Linked DNA regions of Lepisosteus oculatus. The protein of the gene in region 2 purifies or fractionates together with the protein of the main gene of each other region. This does not show direct contact. Links are inferred from orthologs where the notes say so. Each region holds a gene or a part of one and is shown on either strand. Other genes may lie near its edges.

Evidence for each region.
Region 1: the proteins of trmt112 (region 2) and alkbh8 purify together in Homo sapiens (co-immunoprecipitation; 3 studies listed by IntAct, with this or other methods). This does not show direct contact. The link is inferred for Lepisosteus oculatus from reciprocal best matches to the Homo sapiens genes TRMT112 and ALKBH8.

The regions. Positions count from the first base shown.
Region 1 is NC_090700.1:10,187,925-10,204,048, reverse strand, and holds the start of alkbh8 (alkylated DNA repair protein alkB homolog 8), read right to left. Parts: upstream 8,491-16,124; 5' UTR 8,465-8,490; coding exon 8,327-8,464; intron 7,771-8,326; coding exon 7,536-7,770; intron 6,640-7,535; coding exon 6,508-6,639; intron 6,209-6,507; coding exon 6,113-6,208; intron 5,927-6,112; coding exon 5,822-5,926; intron 4,243-5,821; coding exon 4,172-4,242; intron 1-4,171.
Region 2 is NC_090713.1:23,016,034-23,032,169, reverse strand, and holds trmt112 (multifunctional methyltransferase subunit TRM112-like protein), read right to left. Parts: upstream 6,632-16,136; 5' UTR 6,478-6,631; coding exon 6,403-6,477; intron 5,516-6,402; coding exon 5,414-5,515; intron 5,336-5,413; coding exon 5,243-5,335; intron 4,247-5,242; coding exon 4,145-4,246; 3' UTR 3,241-4,144; downstream 1-3,240. Other genes in the region: esrra (steroid hormone receptor ERR1), read left to right, coding at 1-88, 171-424; prdx5 (peroxiredoxin-5, mitochondrial), read left to right, coding at 7,588-7,653, 9,522-9,656, 10,377-10,511, 11,145-11,276, 11,876-11,914, 12,018-12,082, 12,386-12,494; atg2a (autophagy-related protein 2 homolog A), read right to left, coding at 14,452-14,688, 15,180-15,326, 15,924-16,078. UniProt on the Homo sapiens protein: Acts as an activator of both rRNA/tRNA and protein methyltransferases. Together with methyltransferase BUD23, methylates the N(7) position of a guanine in 18S rRNA.

The DNA.
Region 1 (16,124 bases), on a different chromosome or scaffold from region 2:
CAACCTGTTTATTCTGGTATACAGTGTTTCACAGTGTGACAATTATGATTACTTCATTTCACTATGTGTGGTTTTTTAACGGATGGAAATTTCGGTCCCTATATTTTTAGCATTTTCTTAATGCTAATTAAAGAAATGGATATATAAAGTACCTGAGCACCCAAATATGTGATGAATAAAAGATGAGTGCCATCTTGGTTGTATGAATTTCCTTAACATAGTAGGTTATGTAGCCTCTACTCTAGCTTCATCCAAAAATTTCATGGTGAATTCCGACATACACACAGAGCAATGTTCAGTACTGGCAATCACTTGGTTTGAACAGTTTCCACAGTTCCCTGGGTTATAGAGAGACCATAAGTATACTGGACACATTTGAAATGGAAGACTAGTAGGCAAGGGTTATAGCCCTGCTGAAAGATGAATGAGGGGTGCCAAAATCATCTGTATTATTCTGTACTTGTCAGTACTGCTTCTCTAGGGATTTCCATGTGGAATCTCGAGAGAAAATTTATCTTGGGGAAATTCCAAACATGCTACCAGGTAATAGTATTCACTAAAAGGAGTTTAAGAGAACAGGTCAGAAGGAGCTTAGACACTCGCTACTCATAAGATCCAACACTCCTATATCAGGGTTGTCGGAAAAGTCAGACACCAAGTAAGTAAGCAGGCCATTTCTCGGTTATGGCACAGCATTCATGGCCAAATAAGGACCAGAGATAGTAGTCTAGGGCTCTGTTAGGATATCAATGTTCAGAGGAGGGAAACATCAGGACCCCTCAAGGGTTCCCAGTCAGAGATCGGGGATTAACGGGAACAAGTTGCAGTGGGCTCACACCCAGAGTTCTCACCCATCAGTGAGTCAGAAATAAGCTTGAAAAGATACCAAAAGAAAACTCCAAGTGGAGAGGCAGCAGCTGAGCGAGACTGTCCCTGTGAGAGAGTACCATACTGAAAATGTCCCATGAGGCATGTCCTTCGGCCTGTCAAACCACTCTACTAGGTTGTTTTCTCTACCACGTGGGAAGCAACTCTTTGAGAGAAAAGCAAGCAGAACTGACAGGAGGACGGGTCCCAGATGAATACAGAAGTTGGTGTATTCCCTGCACATTAGGACTGAGTCAAGGGACCTGGAGAGGGACCATAGCAACAACCAGGCCTTTTATTACAGCCGAGCCCCCGGAGAGCAGCTGACAGAGAGGAACACAGCGAGCTCATTTCTGACTCCATTAGTTCCCCACCCACCCAGGATGAAAAGAGAGTGACAGATTTTAGATCGCAGAAAGGATTATGAGACGGCGGGGGATCAACAGGAAAGTCCACGGAGGGACGCGATAAAGAGGAAATGCAAATCCCACCAAGAGCAAGAAAAGTAAGCAGCAACAACAGAGAGCAACCATAAGGAAAAGAATGAAGGAGAGTGAGAAGGTTAAATTCCACAGAACGAAGCTGACAGATGGAATATAGATGCCAGTCATAAACCCCTCAAGGAGGAACGGGTTGATCAATGATCCAGGAGGGAGTGAAGAGAACAGCAGGTATTCAAGAGATAGTCAGGGCTGCTGTGGGGACTAGAGAGAAACACCAGACTGGCCACAGGTCCAGCTCATGGGCCGAAGTCATTACAACATCACACCTGAGTGAGACGTTAAGGTTCAGTTGGTCAGGATGTACAGTCTCTAATAAAGCACCGAGTTCTCTAGAGGCATAAATAAAAGCCTAACCACAGGTCACTTAAACTGCAAGATAAAAATTCGAGCAGGCAGGCTTCCATGAGTCACATTATAGCAAATGAGTGAATTCCACCTCCAGGACAATGATGGTGACCTTGCTGCATAGCATACAAATGTTCTGTAAAGCCTGATGGAAAAAGTGAAACATATAAATCGGGACATTCACAAACTAATCTGTTTTTGAAGCTCTTCGTGTCACCTATTTCGATTTTCATGCACAAGAAACGACTCAAGTGTTTTTCTAATCGACCCCTATCTAGTTTGAATTCCATGCAGACTGCCAAGTTGACATTTTGTTTTTGTTCTAGTTTGCAATGTTCCTATTATTGCAAACCGGGGCTATGTTTTGCCTTAGTCGCTGCTCAGAGGGAAGATCTGGACAAAGTTCATCAGTAGCTCAGTAAATCACTGGACTGTAGTAAAGCTTGTCAGAGTCTGACATTTACTTTGAGAGAAATCACCTGCTATCCATCCAGTGAAGTAAGACTACTGAATGATTTGTGTCTAAAGCACTGTTTCAGGTTCCAGTAACTCTGTGAATTGTAATTAATCTGCCCTGCCAACAGTTCCTCATTAACAGTGAAGCAAAAAGAGTTAATTTAAAAATAACTCAATAAATGACCTGGAGAAAGTCTGAGGCTCTAATTGAAAATTGTAATAATGATTGGCGATTTATGGTTTACAATGCTTCAGACTGGTCTATTAACCATTATTAGATTATTTTAGAGTGATCAACAACTCAGACATTAAGTCAAGTCTTTAACTCATCGCAATACATAAACATTTTAGTAGATTTGGAAAGGGGCATGAGGTTTTCTGTGTACTATATCATCTTTCAAGAACTGGACGAAGAAAGTCTCCAAGCTCAAGCTATGAGTGGGAGGCTGATTTAAACATCTCTTTAATAAACAACAACAGTCTTTTAAGATCCTTAAGGATGTCAAAAGACTACCAAGAGAAATTAGAATGGGGCTTAAACAATTCAACAGATTTCATTGGTCCCCATCCAGACAAAACAGACTTAATCTAAAAGACTCAGAATGCAAAAAACACACATCTAAAGTTCAGTTGCTGCCATTAAAAGGATCATGCAGTTTAAATATACTAATAGAAAAAAGTAACAACATTTTCTGGAATGAGAATGCTATAGTTATAGCTTATGTATTTTCACAAAAAGTTGTTAATTTGTTTTCCATAATGCCTCGAATGTCACCAGAAGCAAGGGAGAGGGCCACTGGCAAGCTGCAGGCAGGCATGTCATGTGCCAGCATTGCCAGACACTAATGAGTAAGCCACTCCACTGTATCCCGACTGCAGAGAAGGTTTCAGCAGACTGGCAGGACAGATGGCCGTCCAAGATCCGGTTGCCCTCGACTGACCACACCAGAGCAGGACTGACACATCAGACTGGTCCATCTGAGAGATCGGTTCAGATCTGCCACCCGTACTGCTGCTGAAACTGCTGGCAGACACAATGCCCACATCAGTGACAGGACAGTGAGGCTCCATGCTGCTGGCCTTAGAGCAAGGCGACCTATCAGAGGCCCTCTGCTCACACCTCCTAGACATCACACCCAACTGACTTGGGCCAGACAGAGGCTGCGATGGGCTCGTCAGCATTGGCATCAGGTCCTCTCCACAGATGAGTCACTCTTCAGCCTGTTCCACGCAGATGGGAGGGCCATAGTGTGGAGGAGGGGGTGTTGCGTTTCTTTTTTCCATCATTATAGTCTCCACATCGCCTTTGGCTTTCATATTCTAAAGAATTTCTTCCTACTTTCTGGTTTAACTGCTCACAAATCCTGCGGATTCAGACTGCTATAATGCTATCAAAGAACCTGACAGAGAACATAAAGGTTTCGGTTCTCTCACTCATTAATGAGTGGTAATAGGTAATTTACTCTTATGAAGGGCTCTAGGATCAAATTAATTGACAGAGCTTAAATGTGAGATGGGCAAAATACCTTGATTATATCAACTATTTATGACTGAGTATAATGTATAACATAGTATAGCTGGTACTGTTCAGTTAGTATCTAGTATATTATAGTATAATAGTAGTATTACTAGTATAGTAGATAGAAGATTGTAGAAGAAGGTAAATCAAGATGAAGAACTAAACATTTTTGTGTATCCGAATATGACATTGATCAGATAATCCTGGTCTTTTCTAAAAAACCATCACACAGGCTCCAGCTTTAAATTTGATTTAGCGGCCTAATTAAATTCATTTAAATACCATCCTATACTACTGTACTGTATTTGCACTTAATACACAAGTCTTTCTAATAACAAAAGAGTTTAAAATGGTTTATGGCTTTAGAAGAACCCAGTTTTGCAAAAAAATGAAGAAATTCCTACATCCAATATAAGCAATAACTCATTTATAAACATATAGCTGATGGGATTACTGCACACCAAAAACAAAAATAGCGTACCTTCGCTCCAAGACTTAATGAGATGATTGTATCTTCAAAGGCAGAATGAGTGTCAATGTGAGGTGGAATACCTGTCAAAAACAACAAAAAACAAATAAAAGCATATATTTAAAAAATATCACATTTTGCAGAACAATGTAACACTTAAGTCCATGTGTCTTCGTGTATGCACTGCATGTGATTTAATCTGGGATATAATATGCATATAACCTCCTCATGCTTTAGTAAAAACAAAGATCAGAAACCTGACACTGATTACAGCTAAACAATTCAAAATAAACCCAGAAATCATTATTCTTTTCCGCTCCTTAATAGTGGACATACTGAGATTGTAGACAATGAAAAGCTCTCTTCAGTACCGCAGAGTTCAGCTGTAATGCTGAGCAATCAGCACAGTAGGTTCCACTCTCTGATGAGAACATGATTGCAAAATGATTAGAAAGTCTAACTCATAACTCAAGCACAACAATAAAGTAATAATTGTTACAACACATGAAGCATATGTGTTGAAATAATCTCTGTAACTTTCTGTTCTGAATGATTTGTTAATTTCCTACACACAGCAATGATTAAAAATGGCTCTTTCAAACACCAACACACCCTGTATTCACTCTTATGAAGCAAACAAGAACAAATAAGGATCTGTCTTTTGACACATTCTCAAGCTCCTCATGCTGCAGAGAATATATGGTCCATTTCCAATAGAGATGCTGCAATACACTTGGAGTATCACCTTTCAGGTCTGCAGTATCCCAGCAAATCAAATGTTATCCATTTAATCACAAAGATGGAAGCTTCTTTTTTCCCAAAAAAATATTATTTTTAATAAAAAAACATTAATTAAGAGATGCTTATAATTAAAATTTCCATCATGGACTTCTATGGACATGGAAGATTTTGTGCTCTGAGGTTTTGCTTGTTTGAGGTGTAGAAGAAATTAAAATAGGTAGCTGCATCAGTATGTGTAAGCAGCAAAGGAACAGGTAAAGGTTAATTCCATGCTGAAAGTAAATAAAAGTGACAGCATTTCAGCTGTGGAGCCTTCTTCGGGTCTGTGAAGGTTGTAACACCTGAAAAAGGCTCCTTGAAACACCTGAAACATTTTGTGTCTCTGGGGTTCTGTGACTTTGGGTCTGTTTTTCCCTTTAAATGTGCCTTTGAAGAAATGTTGTTTTGTTACTGGAAAGTTGAAAATACAAATAAGTGCACCAAAAAAGGCACAACTGGCAGCCCACTGAAGCTCAGCAGGTGTGAGCCTGGCCAGCACCTGGATGGGAGACCTCCTGGGAAACCTAAAATTACTGCTGAAAGAAGTGGGACTAGTAGGGGGTGCTCACCCTGCACTCTATGTGGGTCCTGTTACCACCATATAGTGATGTGGACACTATATTGTAAAAAAGGCGCCGTGCTTCGGACAAAAAAATGTCCTGACTTTCCATGGTCATTAGAAATCTCAGGATGTTTCGTGAAAAGAGTACAGGTGTTACCCCAATCTCCTGAACAAAATTCCCCATGGCCTTTACCATAATAATCCCCATCTCAGAACTGGTTTCATCACTCTGTTCTCCTCCCCACTGATAGCTGGTATTTTATACAAAAGGTCTTTGCTGCCCTCTTGTGTTGAATCAGTGTTAGTGCACCACAGCCTACCTTGTCCTGGCTGGTACTGATTTACTGTGAGCTGGTCAGGTTTGACCTTTATGAGATTCTCTTTCAGACATCTGTCTAACACTTCATTGCAAAACATGGGCAGGCCTGAAAAACAAGCAGCACCACAAACATTCTATTTACAACAATGATGAGGTAGAAAAAACATTATAGAAACAACTAAAACTTTGTATTCAACCCAGTATCTGGCACTCAATTTAAATTCACCTGGATTTTTTAACTGTGAAATCAAATCACTGAATTATAGAAAATAATTCATACAAATGTACTTACCTCCAGGTAAAGGTTTGTTTTTGTCCACATTGTTGTTGTCATACCGAAATTCATAGCCATAGTGTTTTACTTGCCTATGTTTCAAAGCCTTCTGAGCTATAACAGCAAGAGAAAAGAAATTATTCCACACCAATCTAATATCCATTATTACTAAATGAATTTAAAATGCGAGAAACTACTACATTTTCAGAAATGCTATAAATCAAGGCACAAAGGCCTGTTATGATTTTATTAACTTTTTGAAATCTACAATTTCTTAAATATTTCAAAACATTGAAGTTAAGGCACTACTAACCATTCAAATTCACTAGCAGAAACAGGTACACAAAAGAGGTATATTTAGATTTTGAAGTAACTGTTATGAAAGACTTTAGAAAGTGCTATGAACCTCTCACCAGTGTCTGTGTTGCTATGAGAACCCCAGTCAATGGCTCCCAGCAGTCTCATTTCCTCCTCAGGTGATAGAAACTCCTCCACCACCTTCAGACCAGGGGGCAGCTCCTGTCCTTGCCAAACCACACTTCCTACTGCAGAGAGAGACACTGGTGGGCATCCTTAAAGCATTTCCTGTGAAGTTACTGAGACCTTACTCATTGATGTTGTCACACATACTGTCGATTAAGGTTGCCTCCAATTAACCTTTGAGATTAAGATGATCTAAACACACGTCAGGATACAAAAGTGGCAAATCACTGAACAAAACGATCTTTTCATTATTAAACATCTCCAAGTCATCACTCAACATGCTGTTGCTGTAACAGGTTCTGTACTTTCCATCACTTTCCATGGGTAAAATATAAAATTGTTAAAAGTAGGACTGATTCTCTAAAAGTGGGCCTCAGGTTCTCTCAAATCTGTTAGTATGAAAAGAGCACTATAACTTCATTATAAGAACCTCACAAATAAAATAATTAAACATTCAGACATCCAAGGCTTGTGTTTATTGGAAAAATAACATTTTTCATAGTCCATTTCTAAAACTGTACACTGCAACAAGCATAGAATTAAGGACAATATTTTTTTGTTAAATTCCAGCTTTAGACTGTCCCTCAATCAATGCCTGTCTGCATTATTTTCTATACTGTAACAGCCTTACTGCCCCTGTGTTCAGAAACCGCCCTACCTAGCGCTCAAAAAACAATTCCTTGGAAAAAGCTTCCTTCTTTTCAGTAACACGGGATACCCTGAAACCAAACCCTCTTAATAAATAACACTGCAGGGCAGCCCACATTTCGACTTATCTTCCCTTTGCCCTACAAACCAAGCCTGAGCTGGCTTTTTACCCCGACATTTCCCCTGACTGTCAGAGATGTACCTGTAACTGAATTTTCCGCAATCTTGCCACAGCTACTTTCCAAAATAACAAATAAAAAACAAACAAACAAACAAACAAACAAACAAACAAACAAACATCTCGGCTCACCTTCCTCTACAAAGTTTAAGTACAGGGTGACTTGCTGGTGCTCCGTATCGAGCTGTCTGCCATTGAGGGTTTTGTGCGCCAGCTGAGCAGCATCTACGGACTGGTAAGTTACAAAGGCATAGGGCTTGTTTGGTGGCATGAGTACTGCCCTGAGTGAGCCACACTGTTCTAGCACCTCTAGCAGTTGCTCTCTGCTCATCCCATTGCCAAGCCCACCGTTAGCTACCACCAGGCTCTGAAACAAGAGAAATCACAATCGTTTTCCCTTCACTTGCCTTTCTTTCGTCCTACATTGTCGGGCCCCGGGCAAAGCGACTACGCACGTTTGATGTTTCATTACTGTTTTCAATCATTTGATCATCAAGGCATGAAAACGCCAAATGCTTAAGGTTTTAAAAACAATGCTCTCTTAAACACGTGGTTGTTAATTGCACAGAAAGAGTACTAATAGAGTGACTATTCGTTTACCTATTCGCCTTCTTTTTAGGCTTGGGCTAATTTGAGTTTTAAATCGATTTCGGGGAAGAAACAAAGATACTCCATTCGGTTGGCGTTACGATTTGATCAAACTGTCACTGATGAATAACAGCGTACGTAATAAGCAACGAAACCTGCTAATGACAGCATCATTAAGCGCAATACAATTTACATTTTTAAGTGACATACATATCCGTGACATACATACAATATAAACATTTTTATATAAATTATAAAAACATCTTTAAGGTTCTGTATCTTAAACATAAGATCGGTGTACTACAAGTGCTTTATTTCAACAAAAATAGTGTCACCTTTGTTGGTATCAACACTGTGTCAATGCCTTCATGTTTTAGTAATGTATGGCTCGCTTTTAATTGCTTCCTTAAAAGTTTTTTCTCCTCTTTAGTCTTTTTCTGTAGTTTCACGCCTTCTTCCAAGCATGTCTCCATGGTGCCACAATGAACTGAACACTGAACGAAACAGAAGAAAAGAAAATGGTTCCTAGCGGCAGTTAAAGCCATCGCTGGAAGGATTAATAACAAAACTGACAGCAGTCAGTTTTGCCGTGCTTTTTGTTTATGTATTAAAATAATTATATTGCTCTTAATAGTAAACATAAGTTTGGTAGAACTTTAACATGTTAAACTAATCAATACATGATGTGTGCATGTCTCAAACAGAAAGTTGCTGTACATGAGACATACACACATCCTGTACACATCAGTGATTTGAGACCACTCTGAATTGTTCTTGTCCTTGACTACGAGTTCTTACTGCTTTTTTAAGTCAAGGACAGCCATCAGTAAGGGTTTGCATGCCAAATGTGGTAAAACCAAACACCTGTTGTCTTACTCTCTGATCTTTCTGCACAAGCCTTCTATATTAATGGTTTTAACATTCTGGATGTGTTCCCGGAAAGTTTCTCATTGGTCTCATTGGTCTAACAAATAGATACTAAACTCCCTCTCTCCCAGATTGCCTGCCGAAAAAGAGGAAACCCTTAAAAGTGTTCTCTAAATTCTTTCACAGTCTGCTTTTATTGCACAGTAAAGTTTCTGAACATGTTTATGACATATTCCACTAACAGCGGGGGTTAGTACCCAAGAAGGTGTGTACTGTCTGCATAAAATATAACATTGTTTTTACTTTTGTATACTGGGTTCAATCTGAAGCACTTAATGGTACATATTGTGACTTTAGGGCCATAGGAGCCCCTCAAAGATCGGTAATTTCTCCAGTAGTGTCCAAATTATATACAAAAACTTTATAACATAACATCACTTTATTAGCCCTATACAATTTCTTGCATTAGGAATTACTCTTTTCATATACCCCAGCTTGCTCTTCATGAAACACAAACAGGGAGAGAGAAGCTTGGGGTCAGAGCATAGGGTCAGCCGTTATACAGCACCCCTGAAGGAGTTGGGGTTAAGGGCCTTGCTCAGGGGCCCAACAGAGTAGGATTCCTCTGCCAGCTAAGGGATTTGAACCGGCAATTTTCCAGCCACAGGCACAGATCCTTAGCCACAGAGCCACCACTCCACCTACATTATTGGAATACTAGTGCTGAAAATCTTTTCATAAAATACCCTGATGGCACAGTTTCTGTGGACACATGAAACAGTGGCATTTCAAAGGGAAATTGATGTCTTTGCAGAATAGTGTCCCTTTAAGTTCATTCTTCTACTTAAATGTGGAAAAGACTCTGGTAAAGTTAATAACTGAGAATTTATGGTCAGCAGGTTGAAAGAGAAGAGGGGTATAAATATGTGGGCACTGTCACAGAACTGTAATTTGATCTAAAAAGTACATTGTTGTTGTGACAGGTGAACATTTATCAGTCACTGCAAGCCTTTTTTATTGGTACCTTCATCTAAATCAGATTTACCTTTGGTATTGTAGCCTGGCTTCAGGGCATCAATCCTGTGAAACAACCCAAATCAAATAATCATGAATTGAAATAGTAAGACTATCGAACTTGAAAAGAAAATATGGAAGAATTTCCTTTAGAAACACTTTTGGGAGAAAGAAAGGTAGATTGTTTCCACTCCCACTACAGTACAGCTGGCTTCCCGCTGTGTGGCGATTTTAATCACCGAAAGCTTTGTTCATTCTTGTAAGGCTGATGAACGCTTAAGGTTCACGTAAATTTTAAATATGAGTCTCATATCTGTATTAGTAATGCAACCACAACTGAAGTTCCCTTAAGTGTAAATAAAAAAGAGACTTGCCTTGCTGTCCAGCACACTGCTAGGTATTTATCACCTTTTTGGTATTTATTTATGTTAACGTGGAAGGCTTGGGGAGGGCAGTGAGTTAGCTGGTGTCAATGTGAAAACAGAGATCAACTTTAGTTTCAGCACCTTAGATCAATCATCAAGAGCAAAGAAGAATTTAGCCTATGGCGGCAAGCTTTAAGCTGTATGTCTGAGGGGAATCAATTAGACTATATCCAACCTCTGCATTCTGCACTCATCCCTGTCTGTTATAGTCTGCTGATTGTTTGAGGGCTTTTTTTCGTGATATTGTATGACTGGCTGCTGAACCAGGATCAAACGACGCGGCACAGTGTTTAATAACAAATTTTGAAAACCACCTGTCCAGCAATGTCAAGTGGCTTAGTTGACACATTGTTGGCCTGCCCTCTCTGTCTGGAAACTTATCACGGCCAAGACCAACAGCGCACATGACTGACCCGTGGAAGCTAGTTTAACGTTAAAAATACGTCTTCCCTTAAACCTCCGTCATACAACACGACACCTTTGTGAGCAGCAATTAAATTTGCCATTTCCTTTTATAAACAGAAAGTGACCAATTAGAGGCATTGAGCCAGCAAAGGTTAAAGCTGACAGAGCTGACAGAATAAGATCAATATCCAGTGCAGCTGGGACAGACACTTTAGTTTAAACCCTTAGTTTTTACCATAACTGACAAACCTGCACCCTCCAGTGGCGCTGTAACTGAAGGCACCTGTTCGAAATGTCTGTAATTTTCCATGGCCTCCTTCATCCCGGTTGGGATTTTTCAACTGTAAGGTGTATCATTGCAGTATGCATTCAAAGCTCTGTTATTTCAACCTTGTAGCCAAGGCAGATCTACACTGGAATCTCTATATTTTAATCGCATGAAACAGAATGCTCCTGAGAAATCTGACCTGTTTTTTAAATAGCACTGATTGCTTATATAGTGCCCTCTAGAATCATCACTAAGAATGAAAAGCATGAGGAAATTTTTTAACCTGCAATCCCTTTAACAAGACCCCACTTCCAGCAGACAGGAGATGAGTTATATGTTTTAGACCTTTACACAAAGTCCTTCTACTGGCACTGATGCTTTATCCTAACATTAATCATTTTCAGGCCTTCCTGTACACTCATTTTGATGAATTGCAATAAACACAGCATCTTGTGTACAGCATATATGGTAAGGGTGAGGTTATTAGATTTACAGCAAGATATGCAAACAACATGACGTCTGGTTCTCTGTTCATTTGATGACCATCTGGTACTCTATTCAGTTTTCTACATGTTAGGGTCCAAAATGCAGGTGTTTGTGACCCAGAAGTTAAACTACTGCATCCAACTGGTGAAATTAAAACCTTAAATATAAAATGCAACTTGTTTTTCATACATTGAAATCACTAAGGCAAAGAACAAACGGCCAAACTTGTACAGAACTACAGTTTTGTGAAATTGTCGTACTTGATAGCATATCATTGATTTATACAATCCATTATGAAATCCTACTAAAGTGTTTCTATTAATTATAGTTAACCAATATTAACTTACTTTAACCATTTAAGAAAGCTGGGCTCTGTAGAACATTTGGATGAGGGAGGAAAGACAAAAAATAGGGTCTAAGTAGACGTGCCTTATAAGAATCTTTGATATGGAATAATCTAGCAATGTCTATTTTGAGTAATAGCTGAGCAATACTAGTGTTCACAGCTGTTAAAGGTGGCAAATAGCCTGGAAGGACTCGGTTGCAGGCAAGGTTTTGCAAGGAGGTCATATTGCAAGGATTCTAGAAAACATCCTTATATTTCAGCTTGTTAAATGCAAATATATACAGCTAATTTGACACAGAACATAAATGTTCACCATATGGAATGTTTACCATAAGATGAAGATTAATACAGGAAACATTTCTGCACTCTGATGATCTACTTTGTTGGCTTTCATTCAGCAAACAGAAACAGCACTGAAGTTGCAAGGGTGCATCGAATTTTGCTTCCACACTGGTTCCTAAAGCAGAGCTCTTGTCTGCCTATCCAAAGAGGTGCTTAAAGATCTGGGACACTAAGACCCCACCTCTGCATTTTGCATTTTCTTGTTGAACACACACAAAACATCTGAGCTGCAATACCTTCAACATAATGGCAGAAGGTTATATGACCTGTCACTTTGAACTCATATTTTGGTTAAAATCGTGACCTGAGTCACTCCAGTCACTCAAGGAGTGGGATCTACCGAAAAAGAAATGAAAAACCACGTACTTCTTTCTTTTCTTTGTAGCAAGAACCTAATTTGTTCTTTGGTAGGAGTGTTAAAATGTGAGTGTCAATAGTGACTCATATAGCAGTTCAGTTGAAGCACTGTACCCTAGAAATGTGTCCAAGAATACTAGAAAATAATATGGACAAATTCATATTGTACAATATGTCAACATTTGAGGAAAATATGAGGAAAACAGGCTCATACTGTATCAGCTCCAGTCTCATGCCACACTGGATGTTTATTCCCATATGAAATTTAGGATAGTGAATGTAGCTTTATATTTAGAACAGAGTGGCTACAGTATGTGAGGTATGAAGCAGTGACTGCTGTGGGAATTTAGGAGAAGGTTAGAGTGTAGCCCTTCTCAAGAATTGTTAAGAAACACAATAGTAACTGAGCAGGAAATAATCGTAAAGAGGGAGGATACAGTGATATCTAGGAAATAAAATGTATAAAAGGCAATTCAATTTTCACTGATCTAACAACACTGATCCAACTGCTCTCTTTCCACTACTACAGCATAGCAGATAACTGAGCCCATAGTTGTTCAAGTTTTACAGCCCTATAGAAAACTGTCCCACTGTTCAATAAGATTTGGCATGAGTGTGCAAAATGTCTTCTATACACAAAATGACAAAACAATGGTATGGGCTAACATTTTAAATGTTCTCCATATTTTTAATTTGTAAACTGTGGTTATTAGGAGAATATAATCATAACGCATAATGATTTCTGTATTGCAGGTATCTTATTTAGGCTTTTATTTGAAAATATCCCAACCATATGTGATCACCCCCACTCCATTTAGTCCTCATAAACACTCTTAGATGTTGACTAGATGATTGTATTAGCAATGGAATGAATATTGTAGTGATACCAGGAAATACTGGGCTCCCAACCTCCTATATAATTACCAGGTTTGGACAATATTAAATATGTATAGTTCTGATTTTCTGCCCCTAAAAAAGCCACTTCAATGGTAGTGCTTGAAAATTGATCTACACTCGGCATATTCATTTCTGGACATCAAACAGCTGTATTTTAGATCATACATTAATCACATAATAACTAAATACATTAGTATATTAACTAAATATATTATCCACAAAGACATTCTTCTTTTGAAGAGCAGAATGAAAGGAAGAAAACACATTGTCCGCTGCAACGTTTAACATTTCCGTCTCCTCTCTGGTGTATCCTGCTTCGTGGTAAGTGCCAGGATAAAAGTTTCACTTTTCATTACACCTTCATCCTTCAGTCGAAACAGAAGGACCTGGAAAAGGCTCATCCAGTATCTACAGTATCCTCCATCTGGAGTAACTGTGCTCACAATTTAATTCAATGGAATTTAATGGAATCAAGGCACAAAACAGAGAATAGGTCTTTATGTCTTCTTGTGGTGCACTCCTTAGATACTGTACATTTATAAATTAGAGTATTCTCCCCCATATCCACCACTTGTCCACTTGCCGTATTAAATCAATTTTCCAGGTACTCAGGACAACCGTGCCACTCTGTTGCTTCGTACAAGATGCTGTCGATCCGGATGTCATGAAGTGCATTACTTTCACCACTGTCCACTGGGCAGCTTCCATCTATCACAACTGGACAAATGTTCAGTCTCCCTGCTAATGAGGTCAGAGTCATCATATCCCAGTGGTTGCATCAGAATCGACGTCCAGGATCAAGCATGGTTGTGTCTGGAATACAGTAATTAGCCTAGCATGCAGCCATTATCTTCAGCAGTTAATTTGTATCGTTGATAAAATGTGTCTATCCTGTTTCTGCTGGTAAATCAGGTAAATGCAAACTTTGAAAAAATGCTAAAAATACAGTGAGTTTTGGCAAATAATTGTACTTGTTATTTTCACTTAGAATTATTCTGCAATTGAAGATTCGCCATTGTGTAAATACAGCACATTGCCCAGAAACATGTATATGGTAACCACTGATTCAGAAAAGCAAAGAAAGATATCTGAGAAAAACAACGTAAAGCTTAGTTAGTGGTTAGAAGCAAGAATTGCTTAAATATTAAAGTCAGTCATGGTTTAGTCAAACATAATGCATTGCAGTGAGTGCTAATAGTATCAAAAACCACTATAAACACTAGAAAACTCCAATGTGATGTTTGTGAATGTTATAGTACCTATAGTTTTATAGAAAACATTGAACTATAAAACGTAACATATAATATTGTACAGGATAGACTAAGGCGTATTATATTATTGATAGAGTTGATTTGACTTAATCTACATCATCAAAAGAAATAAGTTCCCCAAGGGGCTAAAATTCCAATAAATACAAACTCAATATCCAAAATCCCCCGAAAAATCCCCTCACAGAAATCCTTGGCTTGCTTTGTTGTCTGCAAACAGGACTTTAAATACTTACTCTGTGACATCACTGCTTTTGTTGCCAAATTATTTGGTGATCCCCTCCCTCGGAGTACTTTAGAGGAGACTCAGTCACTCCCAGCCCAGATGGACCTGGAGGATAAGGCACCAGCCAGCAGAACAGTGAGCCCCAGAGAAACCCTGGAACTGTAACTGGTTTTGTTGGAAAACTGCTCAATACCTGAACCAGGTAAGAAGGTGCTGACATGAGACAGAGGCTATTTCAATTGCCACGCAAACCTGTGTAGATTCCATCATTAAACTGGAAAGAGGATACTCACCTTTCATTACAGGTATAAAGTCATATGTGGAAAAGTAATAGCTTCAGAAAAGCTGAAGGAATGTGTTGTTTTTTTTATTTATTCTTATTTCATTCTTATTTTAGAACATTGTATAATTTGTTAAATCCTTTTTACATCCACACTCAGTTCTTATAAAAAAAAAGGCATGGGCCAAAATAATTTCAGAACGTCAGCATTCTGAAATTTTTTCAGTGTTCAGGGATTTCAGTGTTGTTTAATACATCTAGGAAATAATATGCATCCTTTTCAAGACCTGACACAGCTTTTGGTACAACAAAGTAGCAACAGTAATGTTAGCATTAATGTAATGTTTTCAGCAAAAAACTGTAAAATGAGAGGCGTGAAAGAAATCAGTAAAGCACCATCAAAACAGCCATGATGATGGGCATATTTAGTGACAAGTGGCTATGAAACAATGAAATACCAGTATCCAGTTCACAATGTTGGGATGCTGTGTACGTGCTGTCACTTTGTAGTCTGTGGAATATAAGAGGACATCACACGCACCAAGAATCTATCAGAGCAGTAATTTTGGTTATATTGAAACGTGATCTTTTTTCACATGTGTCCTCTAGACTGTCAAAGAATCATCTGGAGCGTGGCAGCTTCCAAACTTATGAAAGACGAGCAGCTTTGCAAATTGGCCAGAGCTGGTGCATGGGTTTGGGGTGCCTTTTAAATCTCTCTGTAAATCTATGTACACAATCTATTTTTAGAGTGAGCAATCATAGCCGCTTGATAGGGTGACAAGCTGCAAAGTAATCAAGTGGTCCCTATGGGATGGTGAGGATTTGTGTTTCCCTGGTGAAACGCAAAACATTTCTCAGCAAGAAAAGGCGCTGAATCTTAAACACTTGCCCTTGCGATCAGCTTTCTGTAACATCCACATACATTTAACCAAAGCTCAAAAAAGTTAAG
Region 2 (16,136 bases):
GTCTCCCAGCTGGCCCGGCGGTACCGCGCCCTGCAGCTGGACCGCGAGGAGTTCGTCATGCTGAAGGCCATCGCGCTCACCAACTCCGGTAAGCGAGCGCCGGGCGGCGGGCGGGAGGCGGGCGAGTGGGCGCCCCCCCCTCCTCACACCACCCCTCCCTCTCGCCCCAGACTCCGTCTACATCGAGGACGTGGACGCCGTCCAGAAGCTGCGGGACCTGCTGCACCAGGCGCTGGTGGACTTCGAGTCGTCGCGGCGGCCCGAGGACCCGCGGCGGGCGGGGCGCCTGCTGCTCACGCTGCCCCTCGTGCGCCAGACCGCCGCCCGCGCCCTCAGCGCCTTCTACAGCATCAAGAGCCAGGGCAGCGTGACCATGCACAAACTCTTCCTGGAGATGCTGGAGGCCATGATGGACTCTCCCTGACCCGGCGGGGGGCGGGGCCGGAGGGGGAGGGGGAAAGGCAAGGGGCGGGGCCAGGCGAGTGGATAAGGTGAGGGGCAGGGCCAGAGGGGCAGGTGGGAGGGGCCAGGCGAGTGGATAAGGTGAGGGGCAGGGCCAGAGGGGCAGGTGGGAGGGGCCAGGCGAGTGGATAAGGTGAGGGGCAGGGCCAGAGGGGCAGGTGGGAGGGGCCAGGCGAGTGGATAAGGTGAGGGGCAGGGCCAGAGGGGCAGGTGGGAGGGGCCAGGCGAGTGGATAAGGTGAGGGGTGGAGCCAGAGGGGGCAGGTGGGAGGATAAGGTGGAGGGTGGGACCAGAGGAAGGAAGGTGGGGTTGGGGGTGGGGCCAGGTGAGACGCTAAGGAGAGGAGCTGGGTCAGATTAAGGATTGTAAGGAGAGAGGGAGGGGCGCAGGGTGGGGCAGAGATGGAGAGGAAGGAAGCAGTAGGAGATCGGGGCTTTTCCCCAGAGGCAGACAGGGGACCTAAAGTGCAAACCCCCCGTTTTCCCCTGCCGGCCCCCCGAAACCTCCCCACACCCGCTGGCTCTACCACTGCCTCCTTCTCTCTCTGCACAACAGCCAGAAGGAAGAGGAGAGAGACCCCCCCCCCCCAAATGAGAGACAAAGCCATACTGGACACCTGACCCCAGTGTCACCCTTCACTGAGGCAGCTGGATTGTTTGGGGAAGACAGACATGTGACCCCGAATGTGTGGGAGAACAAGGCCATAGGATATTCTTCAGGGAAGAGGCTGTTCCAGAGGAACGTCCGCAGACAGACAGACAGACAGACAGACAGACACATACTCACACTCAGAGCCAGAGAGACAGACAGGCACATCCTGACAGAGACAGACTGGCACATACTCACACTCAGAGCCAGAGAGACAGACAGGCACATCATCCTGACAGAGACAGACTGGCACATACTCACACTCAGAGCCAGAGAAACAGGCAAGTACTCACACTTAGAGAGAGAGACAGACGGGCCCATCCTGACGGAGACAGAGACAGACAGACTGGCACATCCTCACTCAGATTCAGATAGACAGACAGGCACATCCTCACAGACCCGGAGAGACAGACAGACAGACAGACGGACAGGCACATCCTCACACGCGGATTGAGGGACAGAGTGGGGTTCAGCGCCGACGCCGTGGCTCAGGGGAGCAGGACAGGACAGGACAGGGCAGTCCCGCGGCTCCTGCTGCTGTCCAAGCCATCGCACGGCCTTGCGGGGAGTGATACTGGCCTACTGCGCGTGCGCGGCTTGGCTGCTCATCCCAGCTCTCCGCCAGCAGGCCTGGGCCCCAGGCGAGGAATTCCAGCTTTAACAAAGACTGTTTTTCCAGAAGCAAAATAATGTATCTTTTTATATATACTGGGATAGGGAGAGTAGAGTAATTTATCGTGTAGGAATACGGTGTATTTGTGTCTAAGTGTGTGTGTGTGTGTTTTCTTCAGGGCGGTTGTGTCTCTGCAGCTGTGTATAATGTATACTAGTGTATAATGAGCCAGTGCTTCAGAAACTTCCCACGGGCAGATTTAAGAATGACTTTTTTTTTTTTGCTGTTTATTTTTTTTAAACTGTTTAGAATGCAAAACCTCCAGATTCCTTTTAAAACACAGGAGGAAGAGTCCGGACAGCCGCCCGAGAGCGCCCCCTGCAGTTCAGGGTGGAGGCAGCGCTGGGCTCCGGATCAGGGGGGTGGACAGCCCAGCCGGCGGGATTCCTGACAGCAGCCCGAGAGGCGCGCTGTGCTGCTGGTCGCACCCCCCCGACGCCCTTTGCGTAAAGACGGCAGGTCCCTTGTCCCAGCCTGGCCCCCCCGCAGGAGCCCGGGTTCGGGCTGGGGAGAGGCTGTTGTGTTTTCCCCCCCCAGTGTTTTCCAGAGCAATAATTTCCTTTGTCCCGCTGGCCTCGTCGCTGTAGGGTCAGGGTCCGGGACGCCCGGCCGGGCTGGGACGGCCCGCTGCAGAGTGGGGCAGCGTTTGGAGAGGTTCGGGTACTGAACCGGGAAGAGCACTCTGAGTTCGTCACGGGTTTGCGGTCTCGTCTCTGTCTAGCGTGTGCGTGTGCGTGTTACAAGAGCAATAACTCCTCTATACGTCACTGGTTTTACCTGCTATCGATCAATATGAGCAGTAGTAATAACGATCATTCTAATCCAGAGGGAAGCAGGGAAGAAGAAATTCAATAATTACCGTATGATGGGAGAGAAATGTATTTAAGAGCTGAAATCTATTTTTATTCCCCACGACCTCTCCGGGACTGGTCCCGCCTCCTGCTGGTGTCCCTGGGGTCAGGTGTGTTCCTGTGCTCCTCTGTATTTCTTTTTATAATAAAGCCACACGAGCGCACCGCTCCTCTGGTCTGGCGTGTTCTTGTGTGACGCGGCTCTCGACGGTAGGTGGAACTGACCCTGTGTCCACACACAGCTGTCCACTGTATCTGTCTCTGTCCACACCCACACCTGTCCACTGGACCTGTCTCTATCCACACCCACCTGTCCACTGGACCTGTCTCTATCCACACACACCTGTCCACTGGACCTGTCTCTGACCACACACCTGTCTCTGTCCACACACATACCTGTCTACTGTACTGGTCTCTATCCACACACACCTGTCCACTGGACCTGTCTCTGACCACACACACACCTGTCTACTGTGCCTGTCTCTGTCCACACACCTATCTCTGTACAGGATCTGTGCACCTGTTCCCTGTCCTTATCACATGTACCCTTGACGTACCCGTCCAGGTCAAGAAAGAGTGGAAGAAGACCTGAGGACACAGAGAAGCTGGTGGTCGAGTTTAACTTTTATTTTTTCTGTTTCACAGACTCGACATGTTTGTAGAACACGGGGTCTGTCTCAGTCCTACACTGGACAAAAAACTGAAATCAAATTTAAATCACAGCAAGACGGATGAAAATAAATAGTTTATAGCACAGCAGCTGACAGCAGTGCCCCTGTGTCTGGAGCGAGTTCATTCACAGGAGCAGGCTGGCCTGCCCAGAGGGGTCAAGGGTCAGTCTGGACCAGTGGCAGGGGTTTGTTCAGCCACCCCAGCGGGTGGCCCCTGTCCTAAATCAGCTAATCAATGAACTGACCAAGTCTGCCTCTGCAGATCATATAAGAGCCCAGCCCTGACCCCACTGGACACCCCAGTGCAGTGTGACCCCCAGCACTGACCCCACTGGACACCCCAGTGCAGTGTAACCCCCAGCACTGACCCCACTGGACACCCCAGTACAGTGTGAGCCCCAGCGCTGACCCCACTGGACACCTCAGTGCAGTGTGACCCCCAGCACTGACCCCACTGGACACCCCAATGCAGTGTAACCCCCAACACTGACCCCACTGGACACCCCAGTACAGTGTGAGCCCCAGCGCTGACCCCACTGGACACCTCAGTGCAGTGTGAGCCCCCCCAGCCCTGACTCCACTGGACACCCCAGTGCAGTGTGACCCCCAGCCCTGACCCCACTGGACACCCCAGTGCAGTGTGACCCCCCCAGCGCCGACCCCACTGGACACCCCAGGGCAGTGTGACCCCCAGCCCTGACCCAACTGGACACCCCAGTGCAGTGTGACCCCCCAGCACTGACCCCACTGGACACCCCAGTGCAGTGTCACACAGTGAAGAGCTGGTTCAGACACAGGGGCAGGGCTCGTGTCGGTAGCTGTGAACAGACGTATTCTCTCTAACTCTCATCCTCACTCAATAGCATGTTGGGGACCCCCTTGGTAATGGGGAACTGGTGTCCCGACTCTGGACACTGCAGGCTGCCCTCCATCACCTCCACCTGAGAGAGAGAGAGAGAGAGAGAGAGAGAGAGAGAGAGAGGTGGGGGTTACCCCTGGAAAACCAAGTTCTTTACAGCTTCCAAGATACATCTTTGGACAGTGAGAGGCAGGTGTGCAGGGGAGAGTGAGAGGGGAGAGTGAGAGGGGAGAGTGAGAGGCAGGTGTGCAGGGGAGAGTGAGAGGGGAGAGTGAGAGGCGGGTGTGCAGGGGAGAGTGAGAGGGGAGAGTGAGAGGCAGGTGTGCAGGGGAGAGTGAGAGGGGAGAGTGAGAGGCGGGTGTGCAGGGGGAGAGTGAGAGGCGGGTGTGCAGGGGGAGAGTGAGAGGGGAGAGTGAGAGGCAGGTGTGCAGGGGGAGAGTGAGAGGGGAGAGTGAGAGGCAGGTGTGCAGGGGAGAGTGAGAGGGGAGAGTGAGAGGCAGGTGTGCAGGGGGAGAGTGAGAGGCAGGTGTGCAGGGGGAGAGTGAGAGGGGAGAGTGAGAGGCAGGTGTGCAGGGGGAGAGTGAGAGGCAGGTGTGCAGGGGAGAGTGAGAGGGGAGAGTGCAGGGGGAGAGTGAGAGGCGGGTGTGCAGGGGAGAGTGAGAGGGGAGAGTGAGAGGCGGGTGTGCAGGGGGGAGTGAGAGGGGAGAGTGAGAGGCGGGTGTGCAGGGGAGAGTGAGAGGCGGGTGTGCAGGGGGAGAGTGAGAGGGGAGAGTGAGAGGCGGGTGTGCAGGGGAGAGTGAGAGGCGGGTGTGCAGGAGGAGAGTGAGAGGCGGGTGTGCAGGGGGAGAGTGAGAGGCGGGTGTGCAGGGGGAGAGTGAGAGGGGAGAGTGAGAGGCGGGTGTGCAGGGGGAGAGTGAGAGGGGAGAGTGAGAGGCGGGTGTGCAGGGGGAGAGTGAGAGGGGAGAGTGAGAGGCGGGTGTGCAGGGGAGAGTGAGAGGGGAGAGTGAGAGGCAGGTGTGCAGGGGAGAGTGAGAGGCGGGTGTGCAGGGGAGAGTGAGTGTGCGCAGTACCAGCTCACCTCCAGCAGCACGCGGTGGACCCTGCGCAGGAACTCCTCGTCCTTCTCGTGCTCAGGAGCCAGCTCGTTAGGAAGGTCGTTCAGGTGGCCCAGCTGGAGAGAGAGAAAGGAGGAGGGTCACAGCCCGGCCGCGGCCCCAGCGGTCTCTCCGAGACAGGACAGCTGACTCACGCTGTCGGCCGCCTGCACCAGCACCCCCCACTCCAGCTTGGGAATCATCCGGGACAGGAACTCCGGGTTAAACTCCACCTCACTGACCTGCACCTCCGTGGCCTGAGCAGGGAGACAGAGAGACAGAGAGACAGAGAGACTCGTTACTCAGACTCAACCCCATCACGGCACAATACACACAACGCACAACACAGCCTGGACACAGACACTGGACACAGGCAGACCTGGCTGCCCAGAGAGGACAGGCTCAGTGAGCACAGCCTGGACATAGAAACTGGACACAGGCAGACCTGGCTGTCTAGAGAGGACAGGCTGTGCTCCCACTGCCAACAGGGAGAAATGGAGACAGAGGTGCACTTCCTACTGCACTGTGACAGACACTCTGGAATTAGAGAAACATTCTTCCCGAAATTCAGAAATCTAATCCCAGAGTTCCCACACCTGACAGAATCACAACGGGTCCCAATTCTACTGGGAGAGGGAGGAGGGAACTCAATTGAACTGGCAGCCCAGTATGTGATCTCCTGTCCCAGCCTGAGGAACAGTGAGTCTGTCTCCCACCAATGCTCCAGATGTTTATATGTGAATATCTCATGACCGTGTCTTTATTGTAAATGTCTGTAGATTGTTGTTTTATGTGAACTGTATTTGTTTTGCTCTGGCAACACTGATTGTACTCACCGGTCATGCCAATAAAGCACCTGGAATTGAACTGAATCGATACACAGAGAGGCCCGTCAGGACAGAGAGACGCGCATGGAGGCAGATTCTGTCGTACACTTCACACTTTTAACAGCGCAGTGCTCGCTATATTGTCAGTCATTGTAAAGACTGTTAAAAGGTACAGTGGTTTAGTTAGGGCGCCATCGGTCATACTTATTTTAAACTTCTTTAACTGAAAAACACCCCCCCATAGTATCGGTCTGTAATGAACTGTCCTTGCGTGAACACATGCGCCCTAATGAGCAGGGGGTAATTAACAGCCTTACTTTAATCAGCAGCGGGTAGCCCTTGGTGACCCCCTTCACGTGCGAGGTCAGCATGTTGTGCGTGATGAGCTTCATCCCGAGACGGGGGCCGACACGCAGCGAGACACGCTGGAGGAACCGTGGGAGGCACACGCGCGGGATCAGCGTCCTGGTGTCGCTGTGGGGAAAAACTCACGCCGAGTCGAGAGGCCCACCGGTGGTGTTTGTGGTGGAAGCATGGACCGGAAGAAGCGGGAGCTGGTACAGCAGTAAAATACGTCCCCCAGGACGCACACGTTGCGGAACAACTGGTTCCGCCACAGAATGAGGAATCGAACGAACCCACGTTTTATGGTACAGATCACACGGCGTTGTTTTTCTTGACAACAACTCCCGCAGCTCGTCACTATGTTCAAGAATCACCCGGGGGATTTCTAAAGAGCCCTTACGGAGTGTGGTAAATACATTCCCGCTTCTCCATAGGGAACACGGTTTATTCCACGCTGTTTCGGCACACCTGTATGAAAGCCCCTTTCTATCGGGGAGTAAAAACAACGCGCTATGGCATCTCGCAATTGTGACTTTGTATCTCAGAATTGCGACTTTATATCTCAGAATTGTGACTTTGTATCTCGCAATTGCGACTTTTTATCTCACATTGGCGACTTCGAAATAGCCCACATTTCATTGTCTGTCCTTCTGTTATTGTACCGGATTCGGGTTCTGGGGCTCTGTGCCCCTCGCCGCTCCCGCCCTAGTTCGTGCCTCAGTTGAGTTGAGTTTTTAAGTGGCGATTCTGAAATAGACCTTCACCTGTTCCTTCTCATCCTGACCCAGTCTCTTACAGGAACTGATCCTCCCTCCGCCCGTTCCTGGCTGCTGTTGAAAAGATTCTCGAACAATGGTGCGCTTGGGTTTCAGTTACAGAGGAACTGGGAGGTTCCGTCAAGAGGCTGGGCTCTGACCCGACCTCTGGCTCAGTAACAGGGACAGGGGAGTGACCACCCGCATCAGAGCCTGTGGACAGCGCGTCTGTAAATACCGGGAGAGAATCTTCCAGTCGGGGTGACGTGTCCCCACTAGTCACGAACAGAGAAACAGGAGAGGAGAGGAGCCCCTCAGCCTGTCTGCTAACTGGTCCCCGGCTCTCATCCGGCTGACTCCTGAAAGACATCGGGGTGTCCTGTGGCACACACCTGTCCGTCTATGGACACGGCGGCTTGTTCCACACTCCCGCCACCCTCTGTGTACAGAAGGGCCTCCCGCTCCCAGGTTTGAAAACACCGCCCTGCTCTGCGTGGTGGGCCGCAGTTGAGTGGTACTAGTTTACGGACAAGAACGAGTCGGCCCAGAGGCGTGCAGGGGGACCGGTCAGCCCAGATTAACCCCAGACCCGCCAGGCTGTGTGTTAGAAAACACCGCAGGTGTAGCTGGACACCACCAGGCTGGCGGTGAAACGCGCGCCCGTGTGTTTGGGGGGGCACTCTGCGCCCACTGACCCACATAGAGAGCTCAGGGGCACCGCGTCTCTCCCCGCCGAGCCGGCGGCTCCAGTTTCACTTCCTCCTTCCTCCTCGGTCACCACGGCAACGGTCATCCGGGGCCGTTTATTTTCTCGCTGGCTCATCCTTCCAGGAAAGCGGGTCATTACATCACCACGGGGAGGCGGGGCTTATGACGCGGTCGCCAGGGCAACCGGCTCCGGGAATCCCAGCGCACCTGAGGGGAATTTGTAAAGCAGCGCAGGTGGGGAGCGGCGTCCGCAGGGTCAGGCTGCAAAGGGGACAAGAAACAGGTTTATTCCAGGTGGAGAAGAGAAGAGAGAAAACGCAACGTTTCTCTCACGCCTGAAGAAGGCCTCACAGCCGAAACGTTGTGTGTTCTCTCTTTTCCGCCTGGAATAAACCTGTTACTTGCTCGGGTGTTTGTGAAGCTGTTCCGGACGGACGTGCAGAGTTTTGTTTGCAGGCAGTCAAAGGTGCTTATTTAGATTTAAGGATTTCGATATTTTATGGTAATATGTAATAGAAACATTGGAAAAAGAGCATTGATTTATAGATACTTTATTGATCCCGTGAGGGAAATTGCAGTGCAACAGCAGCTTTACACAGACAACACAGCCGCAGTGTGACGAATGATACAATAATAATAATAATAATAATAATAATAATAGTACAACACATACAATACAATCAGTACAGTGAGGGGTGCACGAAAAGAGTTTCTCACAGTCTGGACACACAAAGAACAAACTAGAACAGAACAGTACACAGAAAAATCGTATCACACATATGAATATATAGATGTAAATATAAATGTATTGCTATGCATTATAGTAAATTTATTAGCCATTCTGGGTGAACTTCACAGTCACAACTCAAAGTGGTCTAATAGTACTCCCCTTTATAGTACTTTTGAGGTGGAGTTGAAACACTATTTAAATTCCATAAAAGATGTGAAAAATGCTAAAGCAAGGAGCACATTTGATTTTACACATCTGTAAAAAACACCCTCTGATCACGCAATTTACTTCATCCCCTCCGGCAGCTGACTGCTCCTGTTTCTTCCTCCTTGTTCCTGTTTCTGATCCTCTGGTTGGATTTGTAAATTCTTCATACGTTTAATACCATTTTTTAAAACAATTCCAGGCGTGTGAGGAGACAGGCGGGGGGGACCCCGGGTGTGTGGGGGAGACGTGGGGGGCTGCCTGTCGCCTTGCACGCCTGTCTGAACGAGAGGCCCGACGCGCCGGGGCCGCTGGATACCTGATCCGCGCGCAGTAATCGGACCCGGGTCCTGTTGTGGGTACAAACAGGCGCAGTGTGTACATCACACGGGCCTGCCGCTCCTCCCGAGAGGCCTGATGCAACTCTCGCACACCTGGTGGGGGTGGGCACCTGCTGCTGCCTGCCTGCCTGCCGGCACTGGGCCCCTCCTTCCGCCATGTTGGCTCCGGCGGTGGAGTACGGCCGGGCGCTGCGGCTCCGCAGCCGGAGCCAAAATGGCCGCCGGTTTCCAGTTCGCAGTTTGTCCCGTCACCAGGGGTGGACGCACTGTCTTCGCTAGCGAGTAGTTTCTCCTTCTTGTTGTCTTTCTGCTCCTCACGCCCCCCCCCCCCTCCTTTCCTCCCGCCTCCTCAGAGCCCAGATCCGCCGTCGCTATATATAGACGCGCACCTGCGGGGCAACATGATTCTCGCGTCGCTGGCCCGAGGAACGCTGCTCCTGCCCGCACGACGCCTCCACGCCTCTGCCGTCGCGAACATGCCCATCAAGGTAAGAGCCAGCCCGGCCTCTGCGGGACACGCACGGCCCCCCGCTCGGCGCCTGCGGGACACGGGCTGCGGGGGTTGGGGACCGGGGCTGCCGGCGGTGCAGGTCTCGGTGGGCGGCGGCGGTGTCGGGGCCGAGACTCCGCCAGACTTCTCCGGAGTCCCGACAGCTGACAACCCAGCCCTGAGCGCCGGGACGAGATGGGCGACGCCGAGCGCACGGTCCGCCCGGGCCTTCTTCATCCCGGCCGTGCTAATTAATGTCATATATATAATAATGTGACGCAGGGCGCCGCTTACACAACGCCGCTCCCACAGCACCACCCCCCCGCCCCGCCCCACCGCACACGGCTCCAGATTTCAACACGCAAAAAGAAGAAACTGATTTCTAAACGCGCCTGGCATCCGGCTCTGCGTTCCTGTTTCATCACGCGTGGAAGTGTTTCCTCATCTCGGAAACCTTTCATTTACTGGACGCGACCGTCTCCTTCCTCCTTTCTCCGCCGTGTGTCCCCTCCTATTCCTTCCCTCCTCCGCCGAGGCGCCGTGTCGCCCCTCCTGCCCGCAGGACGGCTAGCTCAGGGGCGCACCCCTCGCTGCGGGTGGGCGGCTTGTTCCCGGCACCCACCGCCCTCAGTGTAAAGGTGGCGTCGGTGCGCCCCAGTCCTGCCGCTCTGTGTCCGTCTCCTCACCCCCTCCTCCTCCTCCTCCTCCTCTCTCCCAGGTAGGAGACAAGCTGCCCGCAGTGGAGGTGCACGAGGGAGACCCGGGGTCGAAGGTCGCCATGGACCAGCTGTTCAAGGGGAAGAAGGGGGTCCTGTTCGCAGTGCCAGGGGCTTTCACCCCCGGCTGCTCCAAGGTACGGCCCAGAGCCCCCTCCCCTCTCTCTCTCTCAGTTCACTTCAAGGTGCTTCACTGGCATGACCTATGAGTACAATCCGCGTTGCCAGAGCGAAAGAAATACAACCTACAGACATTTACAATAAAGACATGGTCATAAAATATTTACAAACAGACATCTGGAGCATTACTGGGAGACAGGCTCACTATTCCTCAGGCTGGGACAGGAGATCACACACTGTATTATTATTATTGAGAGACAGGCTCACTATTCCTCAGGCTGGGACAGGAGATCACACACTGTATTATTATTATTGAGAGACAGGCTCACTATTCCTCAGGCTGGGACAGGAGATCACACACTGTATTATTATTATTGAGAGACAGGCTCACTGTTTGCTGTTATTTATCTTGGTTAGATATTCGGCTAGTGTGTATTGTCTGTTTAGGGTTCTGCAGGTAGGTTTCTACAGATCTCCATGTGCAGAGTTTCTCTGGGGTGAGTGTACCCCTGGTCTGTGAGGGGACCCCACACTTCCCTGCCGTATAGGGCAGTGGGTTGGAGTACACTCTGAAACACCTGGAGCCAGGTTCTTGCTGGTGGGTTGGTGTTGAAGAGCCTCCTCCTCATTCCCCTCTCCCCTGCCTGCAGACTCACCTGCCCGGCTTCATACAGCAGGCGGACCAGCTGCGCGCGCGGGGCATCCAGGAGGTGGCGTGTGTGTCCGTGAACGACGCCTTCGTGATGGAGGCCTGGGGCCGGGAGCACAGCGCCCAGGGCAAGGTGAGGGGAGGGGGTACTGTCACAGGGGCGAGGGGAGAGGAGGGGGTACTGTCACAGGGGCGAGGGGAGAGGAGGGGGGTACTGTCAGGGGGGCGAGGGCGCGAGAGGAGGGGGTACTGTCACAGGGGCGAGAGGAGGGGGTACTGTCACGGGGGCGAGGGCGCGAGAGGAGGGGGTACTGTCACAGGGGCGAGAGGAGGGGGTACTGTCACAGGGGCGAGGGCGAGAGGAGGGGGGTACTGTCGCGAGGGCGGGGGGAGAGGAGGGGGTACTGTCACAGGGGCGAGAGGAGGGGGGTACTGTCAGGGGGGCGAGGGCGTGAGAGGAGGGGGGTACTGTCAGGGGGGCGAGGGCGCGAGAGGAGGGGGGTACTGTCACAGGGGTGAGTGTGAAGGGAGGGGGGTACTGTCAGGGGGGCGAGAGGAGGGGGGTACTGTCAGGGGGGGAGGGGAGGGAGGTACTGTCGCGAGGGTGAAGGGAGGGGGGTACTGTCAGGGGGGCGAGGGGGAGAGGAGGAGGGGGGTACTGTCACGAGGGGGCGAGGGGGTACTGTCGCAGGAGTTTCTCGCTGACCCGCGGCCGTCTGTCTGTCCCTGCAGGTGCGGATGCTGGCTGACCCCACAGGCGCCTTCACCAGGGTGAGCAGCAGGGGGCGCCGGCGGGGGGGGGGGGGCAGGAATGGGGGGTATTTCGGCGTCTGTGAAGTTCTGATCTCTGAGCCGCTGGTTCTCTCTCTCTCAGGCGGTGGACCTGGTTCTGGACACTGAGCACTTCCTGGAGGTTCTGGGCAACCCGCGGTCCAAGAGGTGGGTCAGGGCTGGGCTGGGGGGCGCTCTGCGAGTCATTGACCAGTCCCCAGGGGCTCTCGCTGCTCTGTCCCCCCCGCTGACCAGTCCCCTGGGGTAGAGGGCAGCCTGTGGTGGCCTCCGCTGACCAGTTGGCGAGATGCCCTGGGTGTAGTGTGTGGGAGTGGGGACTGGACACAGCTGGACAGCGGGCGGGTCTGTGTCCACTGGGGGAGCAGCGTGTTGAAGTGGTCACTCTCTGCAGGGTGTGTGTGTCCGAGTGTTCACGGGCCGCAGTGTGACGCTCTGTGTGTGTCCCCGCAGGTACGTCATGCTGGTGGAGGACGGTGTGGTGCGGAAACTCAGCGTTGAACCGGACGGCACCGGCCTCACCTGCAGTCTGGCCTCCAACGTCCTGTCGGAGCTGCTGTGAGCCGGCCGGGCCTGTGGGCGTGGGCCAGCCAGGACCGGACTGGACCTCAGGCTCCCCAGTGCCTGGCGGCAGCCGGCTGACACCATCTCTCCCTCCAGGGGGCCAGGGTCGCTGCCCCTGCCTGTGTGTATCCTCTGTAGTGTTTCCCACGCTCAATAAAGCGCCTCAGTCTGGTGTTTGTGCCCGTGGGCTCGTGATGTTCCCCGCGCCAGCTCAGGGGCCTGTCCTGCCCGTTTCCCCTGGGGCAGTTGCTAGGAAACTAACCCATCCAAGAGCAGGCAGAGAAACATCCCTCTCTCTCCTGCAATCAAGGTGGGGAGGTTGTTCCACACTCCCACAACTCTTTGGGTAAAACCCTTCCTTTTGTTTGCAGTCTTCACAGTATGAGTGATGTGTGGGCGTCGGTGTCAGTTTATGCTGATGCTCACTGGGGGGACTGGGAGCCTGTGAGGCTTTTGACTCGAGCAGGTCCTGCTGAAAGGTCGGCTGTCATTCTGCTGCAACAGCGACCGGCAACCACAGAGACAAAGACGCAGCCCTGTCTCAGTTAACGTCTCGGTCTCTTTCCTCTTTTCAACACGTTTCCCCATTCCTTCCTTTTCCAGTTCTTACCCACAGGCCCCGGAAGCTGTAAGTGTTGTGCCAACGCAGTGTTTTCGGTCTCTTTTATGAAGAAGGTAATACGACTGCGCTCTTTTTATAAGAGTCGTTACCTCCTGTAGCCCAGGGGGCGTAAGAACGTGGAGAGGGACAGTGCAGACAGCTGCAGCTCGTCCAGGAAAGAGCAGATTCTCAGCGGGAGGTTAAAGGAGTGTCCCAGCTGCAGCAGGAGAAGGAGGTGAACTGGTTGAGTCTTGTTCAGATAGTCTGATGGGAGTATTCACAGAATAAATTCCAGAACAAACTGGAACACAACTCCCCCCCCCCCCCCCCCAGGCTAGGGGCAATTGCACCTCACATGCAGGAAAGGAAACACTACTTTACAAGAAGGGTGGTGGGGGAGTGGAACAGGCTCACCAGACATGACATTGAAGCCGATGCCAGAAACCCCTGGATGAGATCTTGAACAGCCTGGAGGCCACAAGGCTGTTCCACACTCCCACCACTCTCTGTGTAAAGTACAGACCCTCCAGTTTTATAGATTCCTCCACAGATTCCAGGCTTCTTGGCTCAAAACTAAGAGGAGAGTGGGCCCCTGCAGGCAGGTAGGGCACTGCCTGGGATGAATCCCGCCCGGTTCTGGTCCGTGTCTGGCGCCGGGTTACAGCTTCTTCCTTGTGCCGAGTAAAACTGCGCCCCAACACCCCCCACCCCGCCCTGCACTCCGGGGGGGTGACGCCGTGCCCTTCTGCTTCAGTCTGTGTCCCAGTGCTGTCAACATGAGCCCCTCCACCACCTTAACCTGGGCTTGGGCCAGAACCGGGCCCACCGCCGAGGAAAGTGGGGCACAGCGGGGGTCCTGGTGGGGACCCAGGAGCATGAAACGGACCCCCCCCCACACTGCACCCCAGAGAGACGCCAGCAGCCTGCCTCCCAAGGGCACAGTTAGACTTTAAAATATTTTATTTCTTTTTTTAATCTGGTCTGGGTGATCAATGTACAGGTCATTCGTCCATTCGAAGCTGTGGTCACATGAGAGCACACCGCCGCTCGGGCCCCCCCCCACCCGAACGCGCTGGACAGGGGCGCCTCTCTGCCTGGCCGGGGGGGGGGGGAGGGAGAGGGTCATGGCACATGGACTCGCGCGCGGGGGGAAGGGGCCGAGCAGCACATTCACACACACACACATGCACACACATGGAGGGGACAGTGGGGGCTGGACACTGGCCACTCCGGGATCAGAGACGAGCACCCGCCAGCAGCTCCCACACCAGGGCCGGCCAGCAGGGCGGCGCCTCTGCAGTCCCCCTGGGGGGGGCGGGAGCCCCGCCCTGTGCAGCAGGGTTCTCCTTCCCCCTCACTCCTGGCTGTCCTCGGTGCGCCACTTCAAGAAGTCCTCCTTCCGCGCGTCCGGCTTGATCTGGTTCCGCATGCCGCCCAGCAGGTTGGAGGTCGCCTCCGTGGCGACGATGAGAGGGCGGACCACCGTGGGCGGGATCTGCCGCAGGACCCCGCCCACCGCCCCCGGCAGCCCCTTCTGCTCGTGACCCCGCGACGCCATGACGCAGATGGTCTGCGCCGTGTCTATCACCCCCTGCAGGGAGAGAGGGGTGAATACAGGCCTGCAGCAGCCAGAGACAGGCGGGGGAATGAGAGACAGGCAGGCAGACAAGTGGGAGAGAGAAAGAAACAGGCAGACAGGCGGGAGAGAGAGAGAGACAGGCAGGAGAGAGAGAAACGGACAGACAGGTGGGAGAGAGAGAGAGGAGAGAGACAGGCAGACAGGCGGGAGAGAGAGAGAGACAGGCAGGAGAGAGAGAAACGGACAGACAGGCGTGAGAGAGAGAGACAGGCAGACAGACAGGCAGGCAGGAGAGAGAGAAACGGACAGACAGGTGGGAGAGAGAGAGAGGAGAGAGACAGGCAGACAGGCGGGAGAGAGAGAGAGAGACAGGCAGGAGAGAGAGAAACGGACAGACAGGCAGGAGAGAGAGAAACGGACAGACAGGCGGGAGAGAGAGACAGAGAGACAGGGCAGAGACGGGGTGAGGGACAGGTAGCAGCCCTGCCGGCCAGCAGTCTTACCTCGCGGACAGTGTCGTAGGCCTTGGCGACACCCTCACGCAGGTCAGCAGGCTGGGCTGGCCGGCGGTGGGCGTGGCGCCGGTCCGACAGGGCCCGACACAGAGGCGGCGCAGGGGACAGGATGTCGTACACGGTCTCCGCTGTGGCCTGGGGAGAGGGGCACGCCTGTCGCTCAGCAGGGGCAGGCTGGGTGGGAGGCACAGTGGAGGGCGGGGCTCTGGAGAGGCGGGACAGGGCAGGATGGGCAGGGCTCTGGGTGGACAGGGCAGGACAGGGTGGGAGGGGCACGGCCCAGGGCAGGGTTCTGGGCGGGGCAGGGTGAGGGTGGGGGCGTGGCACAGTGGAGGGTGGGGCTCTGGGTGGGAGGGTCAGGGTGGGGGTGGGGCTCTGGGTGGGAGTGGCACAGTGGAAGGTGGGGCTCTGGGTGGGTGGGGCAGGTTGTGGGCGTGGCACACTGGAGGGTGGGGCTCTGGGCAGGGTGGAGCAGGGTGGGTGTGGCACAGTGGAGGGTGGGGCTCTTGGTGGCAGGGTCAGGGTGGGGGTGGCACAGTGGAGGGTGGGGCTCTTGGTGGGTGGGGCAGGGTGGGGGTGGCACAGTGGAGGGTGGGGCTCTTGGTGGGTGGGGCAGGGTGGGGGTGGCACAGTGGAGGGTGGGGCTCTTGGTGGGTGGGGCAGGGTGGGGGTGGCACAGTGGAGGGCGGGGCATGGTGGAGTGGGCGTGGCACGGTGGAGGGCGGGGCGTACCTGAATGGCCTGCACCAGCCTGTTGCTCAGCTCCAGCGCAGCGGAGGCCGTGGAGGTGCCGAAGGAGGCCGCCCCCCGCTGGAGGCCGCGGATAATGCGCCCGTCCCGGCGGTACTGCTCTATGGGCATCCAGAAGAGGTCCCGCACCCCGTGGACTGCAGGCACAGCGAGAGGAGGACAGGGCGTCAGGCGGGCCGGGCCGCAGCGGGCCGG